Yarrowia lipolytica: one gene and its partner. The protein of the gene in region 1 purifies or fractionates together with the protein of each later gene. This does not show direct contact. Links are inferred from orthologs where the notes say so. Each region holds a gene or a part of one and is shown in the gene's direction. Other genes may lie near its edges.

What was found.
Region 2: the proteins of YALI1_F01742g (region 1) and YALI1_E16501g purify together in Saccharomyces cerevisiae (affinity purification with western blotting; 4 studies listed by BioGRID, with this or other methods). This does not show direct contact. The link is inferred for Yarrowia lipolytica from reciprocal best matches to the Saccharomyces cerevisiae genes TSC11 and LST8.

The regions. Positions count from the first base shown.
Region 1 is NC_090775.1:167,768-180,464, reverse strand, and holds YALI1_F01742g (uncharacterized protein), read left to right. Parts: upstream 1-6,261; coding exon 6,262-9,768; downstream 9,769-12,697. Other genes in the region: YALI1_F01796g (uncharacterized protein), read right to left, coding at 1-803; YALI1_F01755g (uncharacterized protein), read right to left, coding at 2,319-2,552, 3,433-4,869; YALI1_F01696g (uncharacterized protein), read left to right, coding at 10,698-10,801, 10,851-12,697. UniProt on the Saccharomyces cerevisiae protein: Essential component of TORC2, which regulates cell cycle-dependent polarization of the actin-cytoskeleton and cell wall integrity.
Region 2 is NC_090774.1:1,644,219-1,654,721, forward strand, and holds YALI1_E16501g (uncharacterized protein), read left to right. Parts: upstream 1-5,867; coding exon 5,868-6,884; downstream 6,885-10,503. Other genes in the region: YALI1_E16451g (uncharacterized protein), read left to right, coding at 909-2,366; YALI1_E16493g (uncharacterized protein), read right to left, coding at 4,020-5,126; YALI1_E16531g (uncharacterized protein), read right to left, coding at 6,950-8,863; YALI1_E16544g (uncharacterized protein), read left to right, coding at 10,215-10,230, 10,280-10,503. UniProt on the Saccharomyces cerevisiae protein: Essential component of both TORC1 and TORC2. TORC1 regulates multiple cellular processes to control cell growth in response to environmental signals. Nutrient limitation and environmental stress signals cause inactivation of TORC1.

The DNA.
Region 1 (12,697 bases):
AGCTGCTCGGCAAAAGCCTTGGTTTGCTTTCTCACCTCCTCATAGTGCTCTGTAGACTCTCCATCAAACTGCACCTTATCGAACTTGTTCGCCAGCACACCCAGCTTCTCGACAAACTGTTCAAAGTCGGGTTTGGCCCACCATGAGATCATTGAGTCGATTCCCACACCCTCGATGGTCTCGGGGACTGCCTTGGGTGAGTTGATGTTCTTCTTCCGCTCAGAAGCAATGTAGAACATGGCCTCCTTGTAGACTTTCTCGAGCACCCACATGCCGGCCACCAGGGTCCGGATGTCGAGCTTTGAGTTTTGAGAAGACTCGATCATGAAGTTGATGTATTCCCAGACAGGAGGGTGGATCTTCTCGGAGCCATGGGACGACAGAGCCTTGAGTTGATCGAGTCGACCAGAGCTGTTGGCGAGAAACTTTTCGTGCTGGGCAATGGGATCGGGATCCAGACGCTCCAGCTCGGTCATTTTGATTTGGCGCTTCTCTCCAATCTCCTCAAACTTGACCATTTCGTTCTGGGCCACCACGTAGCAGCCGGATAGCAGAGTATGGAGCTCGTCGACGAGAGGGCCGTACTTGGGCTCGACCTTGGTCCACATTGGGTCCTTTTGCAGCTTTTCCAGCTCGGTGATCATTCGGCTGACGTAGCCTCCACATCCTCCGACGTAGATATGGTCTGAGAAGAGCCAGTGGTTGAACTGCTCATCGGTAATCTCTCGTCGGCCGACTTTGACAACCCACGGAGCCTTGATGGACGCAATGTCGAATTGTTCTTGAAGATCGGGCCATTCCATGGTGAAGTGATTGATGTTTGACGGGTTTTATTGGAGAGAGAAGGGAGAGAAGGGGACTTTTTATACCCGCTATATAACTCGAAAGACTCATTAAACTTTCGGCTACCATGCAACCTAGTCATCGTTTGACTCGTCTTGAGTCATCTGTCCAATGAGGAGTGGGGTGCAGCTGCAGGAAGAAGGGAGACGAAACGACATGTTGAGAACAGCGAATGGGTCACAAAAGTTGTGTTTGTAGCTGTTTCGCGCCCCAATCGTCCAATGGGATTGTCGCATTTACCCTAACTCCGAAACTCTACATCGAAACCACCATCCACTCATGTGTACGATCTACATCAATCGATCAACGAGTCTTGGTTTGACCCAACCCCCAGTATAGATAGGAAGCAATTTTATACGCGACGAGGTTGTTTCTGATGGCAAATGAGTGGTAATTTGCACGTATATCAGTCAAGGAAACGTTCTAAATCTTCTACGCAATAGCCATTGACCTCTAGCTACTCTTTTCCAGCCTTCTCTGAGGTGTCCAGTTATCTCCAAAAAGTCGTCGAATAACCTCTCTGGCTGCGGCTACTGGAATACGAGAAGAGGGTAAGATACGAGGGAGAGGGAGAGAAAGAGAGAGAAAGGTATAGAAAGAGACAAAGAAGTTACTAGTATACCTCACTGTAACAATGTATTATGGGTACGGTACGAGTACGAGTGCGAGAACCTGTATCAGAACTCATGGTGCTAACTGAACGATTCTCTCATGAGATCATCTTTGGGTGCGGCTTTTGTCAGCTCATGTCTTCTGTAGTAACCAACTACAAGTACAGTACAGTATGTACCGATATTGTAGACCGACTGAAATGACTATCCTATCACATTTCTGTTACCAACTTCAGTTTCTTCTTCGCCCTTTATTTTTTATTTTATTTTTTTAGTTTTTTGTCATGCTTAGCACTGTAGCTACAGTACAACTACTGGCGCTACTGTAACCTAACTCCATAGACTTCATAGTTGAACTTTGTTAAGAACACAAGTCCGCTGGATGGTTTTTTTCGGAAAAAAACAAAATTCTGACGTTTTAAGAACCTCACTGCTTGGTAAAAGAGTCCATTTGGGCAACAGAATTGTTTTTAAAAAAAAAGACTAAAATAATTTATCAAAAAATGTTTGTCTTACATTTACTATTATTAAGAATGTTGAATTTGGGCAACTCCGGTGAAGTGTGTGTAGTTGTATTTTTAGTTCACTTTAGTGACAGAACTACGCAAGGTTGGAAAAGCGTCCTGAATCCACAAATTCCACCCCCAACACCTCAATTTTTGTATCATCAATTGTAGCAGAAATACATTTCAATAATTTGGATCCATACACATGTTTACCGTTTTATCTCTCGCTACAGTAGCTGAAAGGATCACCACTTCTTCATTTGTTACAAGTAGCCACGATGTGAAGAGGTCAAGGTACCATCCCAATATCTTTGAGCAACCAACATACTGTGTAGTACAAGTACAGTACCTGTCTCCTCTAGTCATCCACAATTGGAGAGGATAGCCACAATTCATTCACCAAGGAACGCAACTCTTGGGCCTCCAGATGAGACATGGCTTCACCAAGAGCGGCATCGTGCTCTTCGGAAGTATCTCGTATCTCTCGCATGTGTCTGGAGGCGTAGTTCTTAGCACGTACACTCTTCTCCTTGAAGCCCAACCGCCACATGGCTACTGTCTGGTGGATGTCCATTGGGTTCGTATCGAGGTACTGAGTTGCTAGTTGACGCAACACAAATATCTTATGATGCTCGTAGTAGGTTATCAAATTAACAGCTTCCGAGTGGTCCATCTCTGGCTCCGCGTCGTAAAAGTGCTGAGTAATGAACACCAAAGTTGAATGAGGTAGCTTAAGTAACACGAACGAGTGTCCCTTACTTCGGGCTTCAAAAAAGGCCGTTTGGAACACCTTCCATCTCAGCAGAAAGTGGAGTGGGTTCTGTATACCCATGGCTTGTCGGTCGCATTTGCTGACTAAAAGAAACTCGCGTTCTTGGAGAGGATATTGTACCAAATCGAGGCACGTGACGGGGTGGAGTTTTCGACCCATTTGGTAGAGAGATGGCGTGTTGCACGTATAACTGTACTGTAGATGATGACTTTAGAATGTGTGTATTTGACGTGATTTAGAAAAAGGGAAAAATGACGTATCGCTTGTTAAAGTACAACACGATACAGACACTCCCTCTCAGCTTAAACTGTTCCTGTTTTAGATATGTCACCGAAGAGAAAGTGTTGTGATTGCGATGTATGGGAGCTATATAAAGCACAGAGATAACCAAAGCGCTTACAATAGGATCGTTTGATCGTCCATGATACATGTTTAAGACGTCAAGAGGAGCCCCCTATTGTAGTTCCCCTTCATTGGAGTCTGTGTTTTTTCAAGTACAGTACAATATCTAATTCAACTAATATTTGGAGTATAGTTAAATACTAATCCCTTTCTCGCTACTACTACTTGTACGAGACTTTCCAGTGTGCTCGTCTGCTACTCCTTCAAACTCAACAACTGCCCCCTCCAGCGTCGTTTTCGGACCAGTGTACCATCTGTAAGCAAACAGATAATAGTACATCAAACACCCTCCCCAGACCACAGCTACAATGACACAGGTGTAATTCATTGTATCCTTAGTAGGATGGGCAGTAGTCTGTGGGAACTGGATCAGTACTAGACTGAACATCAGAAAGACGCTGGCAAAGCCCCCAATCAGCTTGGAAGGAAATCTTCCGAGATAGAAGGGGCCTGGAACGAACCGGTTCTTACCATACAGCAACTTCAGAGAAATTGGAATCAGCCATCCCAAAGAAGTTCCTCCTGCTGCCAGCGAAAACAACGCCTGAGCAGCCGCCGCGTTGATCATACACAGACATCCGATACACAGAGCCAACAGGGCACTGCCCCAGACACATCTGATTGGGTTGGAGTACTTTTGGTTGACCACTTTAAAGAAGTCGGAGAATTGCAGAGCCCCGTCTCTTGAAAAAGCCCAGGCTTGTCTCGATGCAGAAGTGACACTGGACAACCCCATAGTCCATTGTAGGATGAAGATGGCCGTCATGACTCCAATTGTCCATTTCTTTCCCAGAGTATCATACACCAATTGAGCAAAAGGTTGCTGATAGACTGTCTCAAGAAGAGGCTTGACATCGTGGGGCATAACTGCAACCAGGACAATGACGACAACAAACCCCAGAATCCAGCCTACACTGATAGACGCAATGATTCCAAATGGCACTGCCTTGGTAGCATTTGAAGCCTCTTCTGACATGTGAACACACGAGTCGAATCCTCCAATGGTCCACGAGGGAGCTAGCCAGCCCAGAAAGAAGACCCAGGCGGTGGGCCATCCGTCGGTGGTGTTTTCAATTTGTCCAAACATGTAAGAAGCGGAGTTGAGATGGTTTCGCGCGCCTATGGGAAGTGCTATGATTAAAACTAGAGCGATAGCGACATTACCATAGATACACACGGTCTGTAGCCTAGCCATATGTCTGGTTCCCATGGACCCCACGCAAGCATGAGATACTACGCAGGCTGCAAAAATGCCGTAAAGCACGTAGGCACTTGGATTCCACTGGCCGTCTGTAGCCACAATGATCATACTGACCAGCATTTGAGCAAATCCATAATCAATGGACATGAGGCCTCCAGTGAGGCCCAGGAAGCTGCTGTAGCCTGCGAGAAAGCTCAGGGGCCGTTTTGCCTTCCCAGGAGCAAAATAGTACGACCACCAGTATAGGCCTCCTGAAGTTGGTAGAGAGGAGCCGAGTTCTGCTAGAGCCAGTCCGACTGTCATGATGCATACCGAACAGGTAAACCAACCCCACACCATTCCGTATGGGCCAGCCTGGAGAGAGAAAGAGATGGTTGAGGCTATGGAGGGGATCAGGCCCATGAGTGAAAACGCAATTCCAAACACTTGAACAGTGGAGAAGTTGCGTTTCAACTCGGGCTTGTATCCAATGGTAGCAAGAATCTCCGAGTCGTTGTAATATGAGTCGGGGACTTGTTTTTCGAGTTCTGACATGGTGGGTCGTGGTAGTAAGGCTCTCGTATACATACTAAAGTGCATGTCTTCAATTATATATAGCTAGAGAAGCCAGGTCTTATCGGAAAAGTTCTGTGGACGAGTTAGAGGCTCAAGGTGTCATCATTTGGTTGTAGAGCTGATCTCCGGAAGTTACACATTGTCTATTGACATGCTAAAGTCCAGTAGCTTCGTGAGACACCCGTGCTTGTAGCGGGAGTCTGAAGTCTACCAACTGACGCAATTGGCTGTCTAGGGGACCAAAAGGATCAAAAACTCATAAATCAAGTACTAGAAATGTTTCTGTTTTTCCACTGTGGTCCCTACTACCCTCAATCACTTGGCACGATCTCCCTTCTTCATTCTATGCAACCTTGACATTGACAATTCGTGGCTGAGATCCAAAGCCACAATTAACAAGTTTTTTTCTGAAATCCGTGAACGTAGCCACAGTATACGACAGATTGCATTGTGCCACAGAGCCTCCGTGTAATCACAATCGGATCCTGCCGTGCCCCAGAACGGAACTTGAACCCGCACCCCATGACTTGAGTGCATGGATAATGCAAGTGTCTTCAGTAATCGTGTTAACTAATAAAGTGATCTGTATCAACTATCGGTTTGAATAAAGTCAACTAAATACTTTGAGTTTTAATTTGCTACTGTCGTCACTAAAGAGCCCACACACTCAGCCAAGCGTCACCATCGGTTATTTATCACGTGATTCAATGTCCTTCACACATTCTGCCATACGCTTACAACGTAATTACAGTACTTGTACCCCGGATTTACACGTCGCAAAATAAGGGGCGTCTTTTTGGGCTGGTTTGAGGAATTTAAATTTGGACATGGGCATGGATGGATGGACAGTGCGAGCACCACAGATCAGCTAAATGTGCTATCAATAGACCAGAAATTGACGGATTATCACGTGACTAACGGTTGGCTAGCCCATTAAATACATTCTGGCAACCTTTGTCGTCATTTTCTACAGTTACAATCGATTTTTGTCGTAGGTCAAATCTCTCTGAAATGCTCTCAAAACAGACAGTCTGCACCACCCAATCCCCAATCCTCCCAATGTTATTTTGACGTCATGTGCGTCATCATTCCCACCTCCCCCAAACATGTATAATGATGAAGAGGAGAGAGCTGTTAGAACACTTGTATGGTTGTTGCGGTGATAAGTGCCTGTTTAAAGGCCCCAAATATGAACAAACAAGTCTCCCCGGATTAGCCCCAGGTTTTTGCAAGCGTCCATCGCTCCGCCAATGCCCAGTAATCTGCCCCTCCTCCTTTTCCCTCTCACGTGACCCTGCATACCCACTACGCACCTAAACCATAGCTCCAGCTCCAGTATCGCGCACACAGCTAGACGGACCAACAGCCAACATGAAGCCGCCACATCTGACGGACAAGCAGTGGCGGATGGAGCTGCTGGACAAGCTGGAGATCGAGGCGAAAATCAAAGATGGCGCGGAAAACATGCTGCAGGTGCTGGACAAGAAGGAGAAGTCCAAGACGGACACTACTCGGGAGGGAATGCGGTCGCGGGTGGAGAGTGAGCTCAATGCCAGTGTGGCTCGGATAGCGCTTTTGAACGAACAATTGCGCGAGGTTCCGGTCGGCCATGATGTGCCGATACGGGGTATTCATCAGCAAAATCACATTCACACCAACAACCACATGAATGGAGGAGGAGACGGCATGGATACAGACGACACCAACAATGAGAGCCCGTCGTGGCTCATCAGCAACATTGTGCAGGCGTTGGACGACCCGGCGGTCAATGCCGACGACCTCGTGACCAAGTGCAACGAGCTGGTGAGGGTCTTCACAAGATACCCCCTGCAAAAGTACGATCTGGTCTTGTCGCATGTGGGCGACCGGATACAGCGGCTGCTGTTACACAAACGCACAGAGGTGGTGGCGGCAGGGTACAGAGTGGCACGTCATGCTCTCACGGACATTTACTCGTTGAAGACAGCCCGGGGGTTTCAGACAGATCTGTTTGTGATTCGCAGTTTGGCACGGGACAACAGGTGTCATTTTGAGCGGCTGCAGGCACTCAAATTTATTCGTGCATTCACAGACGTGCCGCAGGGAGTGGCAGAAATCAGCATTGGAGTCGTGCGAGCTATTGTCGCTGTTGCAGAACAGACTGATGACAGGCTACGTGTGGCGGCTTTAGAGACATTGGCTGAGCTGCTGGTTCTAGATTCACATCTGGTGCATAGAGCAGGAGGAGTGCGCCCATTGCTGGCGCTGTGTGTGGAGGGCCCGTTTGAGCTTGCAGCTCTAGCTACCAGAGTTCTTCTCTATACTCTTGACTCACCAACCACGCGTCACGTCTTGCAAGGAGGTAAGGATCTGGAGTTTCTAGTGTCCGTGCTCACTGAGGTGCAGCAGAAGGGTCACGTGAATCCAGAGACGTTGCGTAACTCGTGCATGGTCATTGGTGTGGTTTTGTCGTCCTGGGCAGGTCTCATGTCTTCAGAAGGAAGTTCGTTGGTGCGAGCTTTGATCCAGTGCTTGGCCCTGCCGCTGCCTCTTCTTCGAGACATTGTTTTGTCGCTTCTGTTTGATTTGTTTCGCTTAGAAGCCCCCTTTTGGTCTCATAGCTTTGTGGCAGGCAAGAAGCTCACTTCTCATGGCAAAATCGAACCCAAGGCTAACAACCGGAGGCGCCCACGGTACATTAACCACTTTCTCGCGTTACTTCTGACCGTCTTCTTCAAGGAGGGGCTTCTCAGGGAGCTCCAGCAGGTTATTACCACCAAGGAAGACGAAACCAGTACTCGAAAGGCTCTCCTTCTAGTGTCTGAGCTTCACAAACTGGCTGGAGAAGTGCTCCCACGTGAGCTCTTGAGCGAGATCGAACGACTAGAAACACTGGTTATTTCAGCCCAGGTCCAGTCGTCTTCGGGACCCAACGCTGCTGCTGCAAACGCCATTTGTGCCATTCATCGCATTGATGCCATTTCGCGTAACCAGCATAAAACCGCGGCGCTCAACTCGTCCACTACCGTCAAGGTGCAGATGGGTGTGCAGATTGATGATGCTCACTTCCGGCAGCTCATCACAGACACAAGAGTGCTGCAGACAAAAAACTACACCAAATGGAACTGGAACGTACTGTTGGAGTTGATTGAGGGCCCACTGCTGAACCCAAAGCGGCTGGAAGAAGTCACTATCAAGCACTTTTCAAAGTTTGCAAAACGACTTATGTCGTTCTACAGACCATTCAAGTACCGGTTTTCGGCTATCAAAAGGACCAAATACAACCGGAAGTACGTGGAGACCGGTTGTGCTCTGCTTAAAACGTTGTTAGCCACCCAGGAGGGAGTTGACTACTTGACTGAAAACAAGTTACTACGGCAAATGGGCGAGTGTCTGGCTCAATTGGATCCCATGAGCGGAATTATTTCTCTGGAGCCTCTCTTCTCCGCCCAGAGACTCGAATCCACACTTTCCTACGGCTACTTTGAGCTGTTGGGGACCCTTTCTCAAGACAAGAACGGTCTGGCTATGATGGAGCGATGGAGAATGTTCAACATGCTGTATCACTTGACAGACGTGCATGAACGTCAGGATCTCCTCATTCTGATCATTGGTTCGCTAGATTACACAATTCCGAACCATACCCGGATCATCCTCTCTAAGGCTCTCACTACAGGTCCTTCTCCCGTCAGACTGTTTGCCACCAAACGTCTGGGATCTCTATTGCATGTGGGAGGCTACACTCAGCCTCAATCTAGTCCCCACTGGGCCATATCTCTTCTTGTGGGCCAGCTTTATGATCCAGATGTGGAGGTGTGCAAGCTTGCTGTTCAACTTTTGCAAGAGTATTGCTCTGTGACTGAAAATGTGCCACATGTGGTCAAATGTCGGCCTGCTCTTGATCATCTGGGTGCTGTTGGAGCTCCTCTGCTCTTGCGATTTCTGTGCACCTCTTCAGGTTTCCAATATCTGCAAAAGATGGATTTCGTTGCTCTGGAGATGGACAGCTGGTTCCACGGTCAGAATGAGGCCTATGTGGGTCGAATCGAGTACTATCTTGAGCAGTGCATGGTCCCCTCATTTGGCACTGTTCTCGATCTACAAGAGAAGGACGCCAAGGACGATGCTCTGGCATCTCCTCCTCCTCATTTCTACGGCGAGCTGGCCATGACAGAAGAGGGCTGTCAACTGTTGCAGAAGCGTGGCCACTTTACAGAGTTTGCCGATTTCATTCGTGAACACGGCCTTACTGCCCAAGACAGAGACACAGTGCTCAAGCTTAAGGGTTGCTTGTGGGCTGTTGGCCATGTAGGGGCTACGGAACTTGGAGCGCCGTTCCTGGATCAGTCGGGAGTCGCAGTGGATGTGGCTAACATTGCAAAGCATTCGCCAGTGTGGTCTCTCAAGGGCACCGCTTTCTACGTGCTTGGTTTGATGGGTACTACGAACCTCGGTTCTGAGATCATCGACGAGTGTGGGTGGAACAGCACGCTTGACGTTTATGGCAATCCCAGGGGCTATGCCTTGCCATATGAGTGGGATGGGCTGTTTACGGAGAAATCTACTGTTGTTCGTACGTCACAGACAGTGCCTCCCATTCTGGAGTTGCCTAAGATTTCGTCCGATCCGATCCGACGTAAAATCATGACGGCGCTGTCGAATCTGAGTAATCATATTCTGGCCAACGATGCATCGCGCACACTCATCAAGCTGGACGCGAAGTACCACGACCGGTTCGACTCGCTTACGCTGTTTCTGGAGGTGGTAGAGCTGCTGGAGATTTATCGGTATCGGCTTCCTCAGCGGCGATTTATCTTTGAGCTATTTAACACCCCGAAGATGCTGGAGAGGAACGCCCGACGGCAGAGAGAAAGAAAGAGACGAAGCCAGAGGGATTAGATTTGCATTATTTATAATATTTATCGCATCAAGAACCAACTACATTCTAACCGCGAGCTTTGCGAGAGTGTACAGTAGATGTAGACATACAAGAACTGGTACTTGTACTGTACTGATGAAGTGACTGACCGCTGATTGTTGAAGTATTGTTCATGAAGAAAAAATCAATATTTGTTTCGGTCGATTCCTGTGTGGTTCCTGAGAAAAGTGCCTGTTCGCATTGAGATGTTTTGGTGCTATAACTCTTCAGTTCAGACTGCACAACAGAGAGACAGAAGATGATGAAACAAAGGAGACTTGCTCGAAACCCGCCATACAAGTACAAGTACTCGTAGACTAATCATATGAGTATCTCAAACTATCCATATGATTTACAACACATTCTTATATGTCATCGCCACCTCTGTGTCTCTAAGGCCATCTTCATCCTGGCCCAAGGTTCTCCGCCAACAAATTCAGTAGCTTTAGTTGAGAAACTGCCAACACCGTATTGGCCAACTAGGGCCAACTCTCTGCGAGGTGTCGCAGAAACGTAGGAGTGACGAAATCACATCGCTAGAGCATATACTGTTAATACTATAAGATAAAAAATACTTCTGTTATATTATCCTGGAAAATTCATAGTCATGCCATAAACCGTACTAGAAATACTTGAACTATTACTTAATAATTACTCCAAAAAGATTAAGCTTACTTAGCTGTCTTTCCAGCAAGCTAATGTTAGAGGCTCTTCACATTATTTTCTAAAAAGTCAAACAACTGCCATAACAACCAGGAAACACACTAAAAAACCAATGTCATTGAGCTGTTGTTCACTTCACGTGACTTTTTTCCCACCCGTGCTCTCCCAATTACCTTGGAAGCGATTCCGTCGCCACCCATCTATCAGATGGTCTTCCCTAACCCTACCACTTACACCTCCAGACGCCATGCAGCTAAATACAATTAAACCGCGTCGCGTCATGTTTCTCTCTTTTCGCACCCCGACAACGCGTCGAGTAGTATTCAACATGGCCAAGCAGCAGACGTTAAAGTGAGTATGCGAAGCGATGGACCGAGGTTGGATCACATTGTTAACGCAGTTTTTTCGGCACTAAGAGAAAGGCTTCGGAGGAGGTGGAGGATAAGAAGGTGGCTAAAGTGAAGATTGAGACGAAGACCACCAAATCTCCTGAGCCCGAGACATCCAGCAAGCAGTCGCCAAAGTCGCCTAAGAAGCAATCACCAAAGTCGTCAAACAAGGAGTTGTCAGCCTCGAAACAATTCCTCAAGTCTTCTACATCGACAAGTTCGTTACCGTCTACCAAAACCGTCTGTGCTGAAACAGCCAAGAAACTAGCTGAGGAAGGATCGGGACATACCCATGGCCCGTTGCTGTACCGAACCATTGTGGACACATTTGAAAAGATCGAAGCGACTACTAAACGGCTGGAAATCACGGCCCATTGTGCCGCTCTGTTTTTGTCGGTTCTCAAGAGCCATCCTCAGATGATGGCCACTGTGGTCTACCTATGCATCAACCGACTTGGTCCCGACTACGAGGGTCTCGAATTGGGCCTCGGAGAGTCGCTTCTGATGAAATCCATTGCCGAAAGTACCGGACGAACGCCTGCCTACGTCAAGACCGAGTACCAGAAACTCGGTGATCTGGGCAAGGTGGCCCAGTCGTCCAAGAGCAACCAGCGAGCCATGTTTAAGCCCGAACCTCTCAAGGCTGCCAACGTTTTTGATACCTTTCGAGAAATCGCCCAGACAACAGGTAAAGATTCTCAGAACGCCAAAATCAACATGATCAAACGAATGATGGGGGCCTGTCAGGGAAACGAGGCCAAGTTTATCATTCGAAGCCTGGAGGGCAAATTGCGTATTGGACTGGCTGAGAAGTCGGTGCTGGTGTCGCTTTCTCAAGCCTTTGTCACCTTTGAAGCTGAGAACAAAGGCAAGAAGGTGAACCCGGATGATATCACTGCAGGAGAAGAAATGATTCGAGATGTGTTCTGCCAGCTGCCCAACTACGCGCTCATCATCGACGCCATTCTGGAAAACGGAATCATGCGCCTTTCTGAAACTTGCAAGATTTCCACTGGTGTTCCTCTCAAGCCTATGTTGGCCAAACCCACCAAGTCTATCTCAGAGGTCCTGGATCGCTTCCAAGACACAGAATTCACTTGCGAGTACAAATACGACGGAGAACGAGCTCAGATCCATAAAACCGAGTCCGGGGAAATGTTTGTGTATTCTCGAAACTCGGAAGATATGACTGTCCGTTACCCTGACTTGGTTTCCATCATTCCCAAGTTTGCCGGAGAGGCCAAATCCTTCATTCTCGATTGCGAGGCAGTTGCCTGGGATAGAAAGCAAAACAAAATCCTGCCGTTCCAGGTTCTGTCAACTCGAAAGCGGAAGAACGTGAACGAGGAAGAAATTACTGTCAGAGTGTGTATATTCGCATTCGACATTCTGTACCTCAATGGCGAGTCTCTTTTGACCCTACCTCTTGCCGAACGACGTCAGAAACTCAAGGAGGCCTTCACTGAGGTGCCGGGCGAGTTTCTGTTTGCCAAGTCGATGGACACGTCCAATGTTGAGGAGATTCAGACATTCCTGGACCAGTCCATCAAGGACTCGTGCGAGGGACTGATGGTGAAGCTTCTGGAGGGTAAGGAGTCTGGATATGAGCCGTCCAAGCGGTCGCGAAACTGGCTCAAGGTCAAGAAGGACTACATTGACGGAATTGGCGACTCTCTGGACCTTGTTATTCTCGGAGGATACTTTGGCAAGGGCAAACGGTCTCAGTGGTATGGAGCATTCTTGTTGGGTGTGTATAATCAGGACTCGGAGGAGTTCGAGACAGTCTGCAAGACAGCCACGGGCTTCTCGGAAGAAATGCTGCAGAAGATGTACGATAAACTAAAACCCACGGTGATCG
Region 2 (10,503 bases), on another chromosome or scaffold:
CCGGGATGGACTAGTAGACACCTAAACCGGCCATTTTTGACAAAGGTGTGATATAAATCTCGTATGCTAGTTGTTGTTGGTCACGTATACTTCCTATCTATGTCTTCTTCGCCCCCCATTGTCATACAAAAATGGTCTCTTCTGGACCCCTTCCATTCACCTCTCAGCTCCCATACCGCTTCTACTGTAAGTACGAATCCTCACAAACTTGTCCAGTTGCCAAATGCCACAACACTCTCCTCAGTCGCTTAATAATCGAGATACGAGCATATAACTCGAACTGGTGATATAATACGTGACCTTACTCACCCTTCGTCGATAAATACCTCGTAAGAGCACCTGAACTGACTCCCCCTTCACCCACCATTCACCATCTTGACGCATCCTAGAACCTTAAGTTCAGAGCAGTCTTGAAGTGATGGGCAACCCAGCCATGAGCCCTTTCAGTGAGTGTCAGCAAAGTGTGGCCGGGGTTTGAACATCCGGGCCATGGAGATGCTGCCATGACCACGTACCTATATATACCTGTATTTGTACTGTTTATGTTGTCACACTCCATACGACACTCCAATTGCCTATATGCCTACAATCTAGCTCACGCAACGCAGTCACTGATTTGTGGCGATATAAGTACAATAAACGTAGATCGAGCATCAAAATACCGGCCAAAACACCTCCAAACCCACGTCACACACCCACAAACCACCTTGTCAAGTGAATGACCAGAATATATCTCCCCGGTACCCTAACCGCCACCCTAACCCCATACCCTAATGCAGAAGGACTCGTCCCAATCCTGGCCGCTCCCCTAATCCAAACCCAAAGTACAAAAATTCTGCGCAGTGAAAAAAAAATTGAAACTCACATTGAGAGCTTCTCCTACATATCGACCTAGCAACACTATCGACATGTCTGCTGTTGTTCAGGAACAAACCGACTATCTCATCAAGCCCGAGAATGTTGGCCCCTCGGCCGACACCTCTGAGTGGCCCCTTTTGCTCAAGAACTACGACAAGCTGCTTGTGCGGTCCGGTCACTACACCCCCATCCCCACCGGATGTTCTCCTCTGAAGCGAGACCTCAAGTCGTACATTGCTTCCGGTGTCATCAACCTCGACAAGCCCTCCAACCCCTCTTCCCATGAGGTTGTTGCCTGGATCAAGCGAATCCTGCGATGCGAGAAGACCGGTCACTCTGGTACTCTGGATCCCAAGGTTACTGGATGTCTGATTGTGTGCATCGACCGAGCCACCCGTCTGGTCAAGTCCCAGCAGGGAGCCGGAAAGGAGTACGTGTGTATCGTGCGACTCCACGATGCTCTTGAGGACGAGAAGGAGATGGCCCGTGGCCTCGAGAACCTCACTGGAGCCCTGTTCCAGCGACCTCCTCTCATTTCCGCCGTCAAGCGACAGCTGCGAGTCCGAACCATCTACGACTCCAAGCTGCTTGAGTTTGACAACGACCGACACCTCGGTGTCTTCTGGGCCTCCTGTGAGGCCGGTACCTACATGCGAACCCTGTGTGTGCATCTGGGTATGCTGCTCGGTGTTGGAGGCCACATGCAGGAGCTGCGACGAGTGCGATCCGGTGCTCTCGACGAGTCCGACGGAATGGTCACCTTGCACGACATTCTCGATGCCCAGTGGCTCTACGACAACACCAAGGACGAGTCGTACCTGCGACGATGCATCCGACCCCTTGAGTCTCTGCTGCTCGGCTACAAGCGAATTGTAGTCAAGGACTCCGCCGTCAACTCCATCTGTTACGGCGCCAAGCTCATGCTTCCCGGTGTTCTCCGATACGAGGAGGGCATTGAGCTGGAGGACGAGATTGTGCTCATCACCACCAAGGGTGAGGCCATTGCTCTTGGTATTGCCCAGATGACCACCGTCGACCTTGCTTCCTGCGACCACGGTGTCGTGTCTCGAATCAAGCGATGCATCATGGAGCGAGACACCTACCCCCGACGATGGGGATTGGGACCCGTTGCTACCGAGAAGAAGAAGCTCAAGGCCGACGGTAAGCTCGACAAGTACGGTCGACCCAACGAGAGCACTCCTGCCGATTGGAAGAAGAGCTACGTGGACCACACTGAGGACGAGCCCGTCACCAAGCCCGTTGTCGCTTCTGTGACCGAGACCATTGCTGTCGAGGCCCCCAAGAAGGAGGTCGAGGCTGATGTCTCCATGGCCGCCGACTCTGACGATGAGGAGGAGGACAAGAAGGAGAAGAAGAAGGAAAAGAAGGACAAGAAGGACAAGAAGGAAAAGAAGGAAAAGAAGGAGAAGAAGGAGAAGAAGCGAAAGGCCGAGGACTCCGACGACGAGGGCGAGAAGAAGAAGAAGAAGAAGAAGAGCAAGGATTAGTGTCTGCATGTAAATTATGTTATTATTTGGTTCCGACAAAAAGGTGCAAAGTGGCTTGGACTGAAGAGTGGAAGGGTAGATTGTCAGTGTGAATACTAAAGAAGAGTGGCAGTAGAAGATGGCTAAGATTTGTATGGATTCTGGTTCTGTATTGAAGCTAGGCTCATCACGCGGTATGAGGCCTACAGAGACAAGAGGTGGTATGTGGACGAAAAAATCATGTTGAGAAAGTTGACTGCGAGTATGCGTACAGTTGATGATGTGACACCCCTTGAATACCGTCTGATTGAATACCCAACTGTTAACAGAAGGCGGTTTCACGGAGAGCATGGCAGTGTAAACAACAGAGAAGTTATGGCCAACCAACCTGGGCCAAGAAGCTGGTCAAAGGCTTCTTCGTTCCATCCAACTTACGTACTCAGATTGACCATCTATCGGGCTACCCGGATATCGACCCCGAGTGGCTCCAAGCTCTGGATGAGCGTGGCATTTCCCTTGACCGTCAGCCTGAAGAACTTCAGCCATGTGAAAAACTTCAAGCGCTGTGGCGACATGGCTTCCGACCAGCGTTGTCGCTCGAGGAGCACACCCGATGGATTCGCAACACCTGCGTCGCCTCCCTGATCAAATGAGACAACGTTGGTAAGTACGGAGGCTACTTGGTCAACTGGCTCGGCTGTAACAGTAATTGTCACCCAAGCTCCCTCTCCGGAGGCATGTTCACAGCCCACTTGGACGAGCTCAGAGCACAGGCTTCTAGTATCGGTACAGGTGCGTACCAGCAATAACTACTGTATCTTCGTGATGTTAAGATGTCTCTACGACCTGAAGATGCGTCCACGACCACCACCTGAAGATGAACCTCTATTTCCCACTCTAACCAACCCATCTTCTTGACCTCAGTTCTGTAGGAGATGTAAAGTCGATGAAAAAAGTTCTCATAACTACACTACTCGTACTCGTACCGTAAAGCACAATGTACAAACATCCCTAGTACACCAATGCAAACAGCCACTCGTCGTCAAATCACACATCAGCTTGCAAGAAGTTGTGTCACAATGCTCTTCTGTTGAATTCGACAGATTCGCTGAACTCGACAGATTCGCTGAACTCGACAGATTCGTTCAACTCGACAGATTCTAGAATGTTCCAGAACCCACATCCAGAACCCACATGCCTCGTACAAGACGATAATCCCTCTGAACACTTGACGGGCCGTCGACGTGATTGTACATGTACATGAAAAATGCCCTCCAAACGTCACCGCTTATCTGCCCACGTCGATTGCACATTTAGTTTGCTAATTATGCTAAAAAGCCTTCAAAATGTCGTCGACAGCACAATACCAACTTCTTCAGCAGAGCCGTCAGAAGCCCCAAATGAAGGCGCTCAGAAGTCCCATCAGCTCAATTGGACGTTAAAAGACATTCTACATGTTTTCCTACCCTCCAAACCTCCCCCTGATCCCTATAAACACCTCCATGTCCTCTTTACACCCGCCAAACCTCACCAACTAAATCATCCTTAGAGTTGCACTAAGGCTGCAGTAATGAGTTGTTCATGCACACGTACAATTGTCTCCATGATCATGCTATCATTTATTAATTCTTACATGTGAATGCTCTTGCACTCTATGTACAATAAGTTAGTCTATTAAAAGTTGTCCTCAATGGCCTTTCGCTGGGCGTCGGTCAACGAGCTGGGGAAGTCCACCTTGATGGTGATGATCAACTGACCACGCTCACCAGGCTTCTTGGAAATGGGCATACCATAGTTGGGGTAGGTGATAATGTGGCCGGGGTTGATGGGCAGACGCTGCTCAATCTTGAGCTTCTTGCCCTCCAGGGTCTCAATGATCTTGGTGAATCCACACAGAGCCTCCTTGAGAGACAGCTTGATGGACATTTTGAGATCATCACCGTCTCGAGTAAACACGGGGTTGGGCTTCTGCTCAATGACAAACACCACATCCTGCTGGCCACCGTTGGGCTGAGAGTCTCCCTCGCCAGCAAAGGTGAGCTTGGTGCCTGCCTTCCAGCCGGGCTTGATGTTGACGGTCAGCACCTTCTCTTCGGGCTGGCCACTGGGGCCCTTTCGGGTGATCTTCATTTTCTTGGTGGCACCGGTGCACAGGTCCTCCAAAGACACGGGCATCTTGACTGTCACCTGTGTTCGCTCGGGCGATCGGGCCCTCTGGCGCGGCATGCCTCCCATACCGCCCATGCCGCCACCCATGCCTCCTGCACGGCGGCCAGCACGTCCGCCAAAGAGGTTGGCGAATCCTCCGTAGTCGTCTCCCTCATCGTCGAATCCGCCCTGCTGTCCGAATGAGTTGAAGATGTTGAAGGCGTCGCCAGACGAGAAACCACCGAAGCCACCCGGACCACCGCCACCAGAAGAGAAGTGGAAAGTCTGAGGGCCACCACCGCCTCCTCCACTAGAGAAGCCACCTCCGGGGAAACCTCCGGCGCCGCCGGGAAACCCGCCTCCGCCCGGAAACCCGCCTCCTTGGCCGGGTTCGGGCATGGGAACTCCTCCTTTTCGAGCAGCCTCTAGACCATACTGGTCGTAGAGCTCTCGCTTCTCCTTGTCTGACAGAATGTCGTACGCCTCGGAAATCTGCTTGAACTTCTCCTCATTTCCTCCGGGCTTGTCAGGATGGTACTTGAGAGCAGCCTTTCGGTACGCCTTTTTGATGTCCGCCTCGCTGGCGCCAGAAGACACCCCGAGGTCGTCGTAGAGCTTTGTTTCTTTCACCATAGTATCGCTTGTGAAAATGTATGGGTGTAGTAACCTATGTCGTGCGTTACAAGAGCCCGCAAAAAAAGTGCTGACCACCCGCCTTAAGTATTGCTCAGAGCCTATTCGCACTCGACTCTTCTGGAGCCTTCGAGATTGGTTGTGAACCTTCCAGCGTCTTCGCCGCGATAAGGTTGGCAATTGGGACCACGACAGAGCTAAATTCCAAGGCGGCAGTTTGGCTGTGAGTGTGATATATATATACTTAGCGCAATAGAATAGCTACAGAAAAAAGAGGGAAAAGTCACGTGACAGACAGGATGTCGGAGCGCGCGCACGTAGAGAGAAATTCTTACCAATTGAGCGTTCCCCTCGCCACCCATACCTCCTCCTCTCGGTGTTAAAGTGTACGTAGCGTAGCTACTGTACTTGCAGGCGTGTGTGTCAGGCAGGGCAATATTAATACATGAACCGCGCAAGGCCAAAAAAAAAAGACGAAAAAAATCCACGGAAAAACCCGCAAACTCAGCCAATGGATCGCTCTGGCCGCTAAACAGACCCAATTTTCCTCAATTGACGATCTCAAATGAGTACCTTCGAATTTCCATATTTTTTATCAGGGTTAGGGTAGTCCTGATTTGGCTGATTTCTGGGGGGGGGGGAAGAGAGAGGTCCACCTCACGTGACCATAGCTTAATCTCGCCGCTCCCAATATGCCGTTTAGTCCGTGATATCTCGAGCAGCACGAAACAGGTTGAATCCATGGGTTCGGAAACAAATCAAGCATCCGCGCAGCCTCAGCAGCCACCGGCGCAGCCCCAGGGCCAGGTCCAACCCCAGCAGCAGGCCGCGGCAGCCGAGTCGGACATGTCTGTGATTTTGTGCTCGTCGAGTTACGATAACACCATCAAGTTCTGGGAGGCATTGAGTGGAATCTGCTCGCGAACCATCCAGCATCCTGATTCGCAGGTCAACAGACTGGCAATCACGCCAGACAAGAGGTATCTGGCAGCAGCAGGAGGCAACACAGTGCGGCTGTACGACATTCGAAGTAACAACCCCAAGGCGGTCATGACCTTTGAGGGACACACAGGCAACGTGACGGCATTGGCATTCCAGTACGATGGCAAATGGATGGTCACTTCGTCGGAAGATGGAACAGTCAAGGTCTGGGATATGCGGACCGCCACAGTCCAGAGAAACTACAAGCATAGATGCCCCGTTAACGATGTGGTGATCCACCCCAACCAAGGAGAAATCATCTCGTGCGACCAGGAGGGAAACATTCGAATCTGGGACCTCGGCGAAAACACATGCACTCACCAACTGATCCCCGAAGAAGACGTGCCTGTACGATCAGTGTCTGTGGCGTCGGATGGATCAATGTTGGTGGCCGGAAATAACAAGGGCAACTGCTACGTGTGGAAAATGCACAACACCCGCGACGTGACTTCTCTGCATCCCATTACCAAATTCAGATCTCACTCAAAGTATATCACCAAGGTGCTGCTATCTCCAGACGTCAAGCACCTGGCCACCTGCTCCGCAGATAACACGGCCCGAATCTGGTCCATCAAAAATGGATTCTCGTTGGAAACTACTCTCACAGGACACCAGCGATGGGTGTGGGATTGCGCATTCAGTGCTGACTCGGCATACCTTGTCACCGCAAGCTCAGACCATTACGTGCGGCTGTGGGAATTGGCATCTGGGCAAATCATCAGACAATACAGTGGCCACCACAAGGGCGCACTTTCGGTCGCCCTCAATGATGTTTAGTCTACTAACCAGCTTATGTATTTTATTATATATCTATGTATATCTTTCATCTTCATGTGCTTTAATCACACAGTAACAGGAGGAGAAGACATGGGGCGGTACCAAAACTCCAGTTTGCCCTTGATCATTTCCACCTCAGGACTCACATCCAAAATATGGATGGACTGGGGGAAAGATCCGTCAGCAAGAAGCCCGTCATGAGCAAGATATTCGTAGAGGAAGCCGCACAGAACAGACATGTCGTGGTCAAGACCATGCTTACTGACCACGAGATTCGCGTCAAGCTCCAGATTGTCATGGTCCTTTCTCACAAGATCGCCACAGATCATGGTCTGCTCAACGTAGGGGCTTGCAGGATGTGTGAAGCTGAGATTCTCGTGAGCAGACGAAAAAAAGGCGTAGGCGAGATTCACAATGGACTCCAAATCGTCGTCCGAAAGGAAGTCGTTCTCCCTGGACTCAGCAATATCACCGGCAAGAATTCGCAGGTAGTTGCCGAGCATAAAAAGGCTGATGGAAACAACGGGGTTGTATGACGACATCTGAACTCTGCAGTACCGCAACTCCACCAACGCCTCCAATAGTGCTACGGCAATGGTGGACTTCAAGTGAGGCAGTCGCTCCCAATCGGGGATCTCTGCTTCGTCTTGAAGTTGATGTAGGTTTCTTAGCGTCACCAAAAAGGTCATGATATGAGAATCAATAGGTAGAACTTGTGCCTGAACCATCAATCGAAGACATAGTTGCATGGTAAGCAACTTGGATTGGGTCACTTCTTCGACAACTGTCAGACACTTTTCCGTCTTAGCATTACCCTCAAGAGTGCAAACGTGAGCAAGAACCATGCCCAGGACCTTTTTGAAGTTGGCGTTATCAAAATACTCCACCGAATGGGTCATCAATGTCAACATGGCCTGGATGACGTCTCCAGACACCTTGTTCTCACATTCGCAGACAAGCAAACGTGCCGAAGGCAAGAGATCGACGGAGTTCCGCACAGAAATGGCCTCGGTGACACCATCCATCAGGTGCCTGAGACATTGATCCAAAGTAGGAGGATTCAGCAATGTGAACGGATCTCTGTTGACTCCAGTCCCGCACTGGGTGCACACGACGTGACTGTAAGGGTACTCCAGCTCCTGCGACACACAACCTGGGCACTCGCACCAGAAGCGGAAATGCATATACAACAGAGTACGCCGTTCCGGGGTAGGGTGCATGAACCGGGTGTACGATAGGAACACTTCGTCGCCGTCGTTAATAGGTTTCCAGCACACGAGATGTACCTTTCTGCCTCTAAAGAGCAAGTACGCGTTGGGAACACAGCTGTGGTTGATCAGAGCAAGAGTAGGATCGAAGATGTACCCTCCCTGTCGCCCTAGATCGTCACATCGAGTGTATTGGTTGACGAAGAGCATACCTGCGTACTCAAGAATCTGTTCAAGCGGGTGACCGCGAGAGGCGTTTCTGGAGACCAGAGCTTCAGCTGCCATTCGAAGGGTATCCATGGCAGGCCAGGAGGTATCGGTGGTGTGGTGGGTGAGCTGGGCGTAAGTGTTGCGAGGACGGGGCTGCTCTGCCATGCATAAAATCCGGTACAGAGCACGTAGGAATCCGGACATGATCAGTTTTTGGGGCCCACAGAGATCTGTACATTCGGGAGAATGCAAGGTGTCCGCTTCGAGACACCTCTGCGAGCAATAGGACATGAGCTTGCAGTCCTGACAAATGGTGATGTTTCTGGCGGGGTATGTTTCAAGACAAAAGGCACAAACGCCTGTAGTGGGGTCGAGACGTGCCTCCTGCTCCACCTCGATAGTTCCGTCTGCGTCTCCACCTACCAGAAGTCGTCCGGAGAGAGGGACGTTGACGGCAGGTTCAAACGAGCAAATGACATCTCCTGTGGAGTAATAAGAGCACGACACAAGCCCTCGTTTGGCGGGTCCTTCCCCAGCCTTGAAGATTTTTAGAGGTGCCATTGGGCACAGGGCTACCAACGTTGGTGTTTGATTGGGTTGTGTGTGTTATGTGGTATCGGGTGGTATCTGTGTAGTATCCGGGGGGTATCCGAATGGTATCTAGGTGGTATCAGCGAAGGGTGTCGGAAATGATGCGGTTCCGAAGGGTATGGTGCAGTTTGTGTGGTTAGGTATCAGAAGACTATGATATGAGTCTGTGGCCGTGTAAGGTGTCCAGAGTGCGGGGAGGAGACACAAACACAAGGTCACGATAAGGCGCACTACTTGTAGCTTCAACTAGAAGATCACGTGTATCGTTGGTGTGTGTGTGTGTGTTAGCTACTTAGGTACAAGTAGTGTCCAGGTGAGTGTTGAGCAAGTGTAGAAGAGTGGTTGAGAGGTGGTGGAGACAGAGTGGCCTGTAAACAAGATATCATGGGGCCTATTACAGTCTGTTGCTAGGATACGGTGGAAAAATACTCACTGTGCTACCCGAGCTCACAACAATGGTATTATCTGGGCGTGAGGGGGGCGAAGGGCGTAAATATATATATAAAAAAACACTCCGAAACAAGTAGCACCGACACCGACAGCATGGACCAATGGCTACTCGGCACACACTGTAGCTGCTCAATCTGTTGAGTGAGTGAGATGTATGAAAGAGATTCATGATCTGATAAGCTACAGATTTCTGGTGCAAGTACCTACTGTACAAAAAAGTGCACACTTCAAACCTGTTCTCAAACGCTCAATACAGTCGATATTTGCACTGTAGAAACTACTGCTTTTACTTACCCACAATGGTAGATTTTCTATTTTCTTCTTTGTTTTTTTCCGAGTTTTTCGCACCATTGCCGCTAGCCAATTAATTGCCCTGTATCGGCAGTCAGATGGTGCATACACACTGTACAACAATGGGATTGTGAATGATTAGCTTCCACGGCGCTAATGACGGAACCGGAAAGGAGGTTAGGCAAATAGGGGGTTATAGCATCGGCTCTGTGGAGCAAGGCTTCGTCGGCCAAATCGCGGGACTTGACCATCGTCAGCGACAATGGTGGAATGGGTTGGGGTTGGCCTCGTTTAGGGTCTTTCTCCCCACTTTGAACTGGTACGAGAACGGTACATACGGTACCAGTATCCGCTTACAGCAGTATCGTTGAATACACTCCAGATTCGACGCAAAGAGCCCGAATTCGTCAAGTCACATGTCGCACACGGCATCCTGCAGCTGGCCACAAACTCCAGAGATATGTTGGACCTCCAAACAGCTAGTTGCTGTCCACGTTATACGGCCTATAGACTACCAGCACTAGTACAGACTGTACTGGAGCCGGACTTAACAGTGTCCCAAGGTCCAAGACTGATACAAATGGCGCCGGTCGTCTGTGGACCCCCCCCAATTGGCGTTTCAGGTCGCAATTGCTCTCCAACCAGACTCAGACCTTCGCAGAGGGCCGGATCTGAGTTCCGTGACTATTTCGTACCAGATTCAAAACGAGAAATCAAACTCAGCCCACCATATCACCCTTCAGACAACCATTTTTAACCACGGCCTCGAAATAAGCAAAACTCTCTCCCACCGTACCGTGAGAGCAGAGGGCGTGCACAGCACTATTTTTGGACTTGCTCAATCTGCTTTCAACCTACCCTGTCTGGCT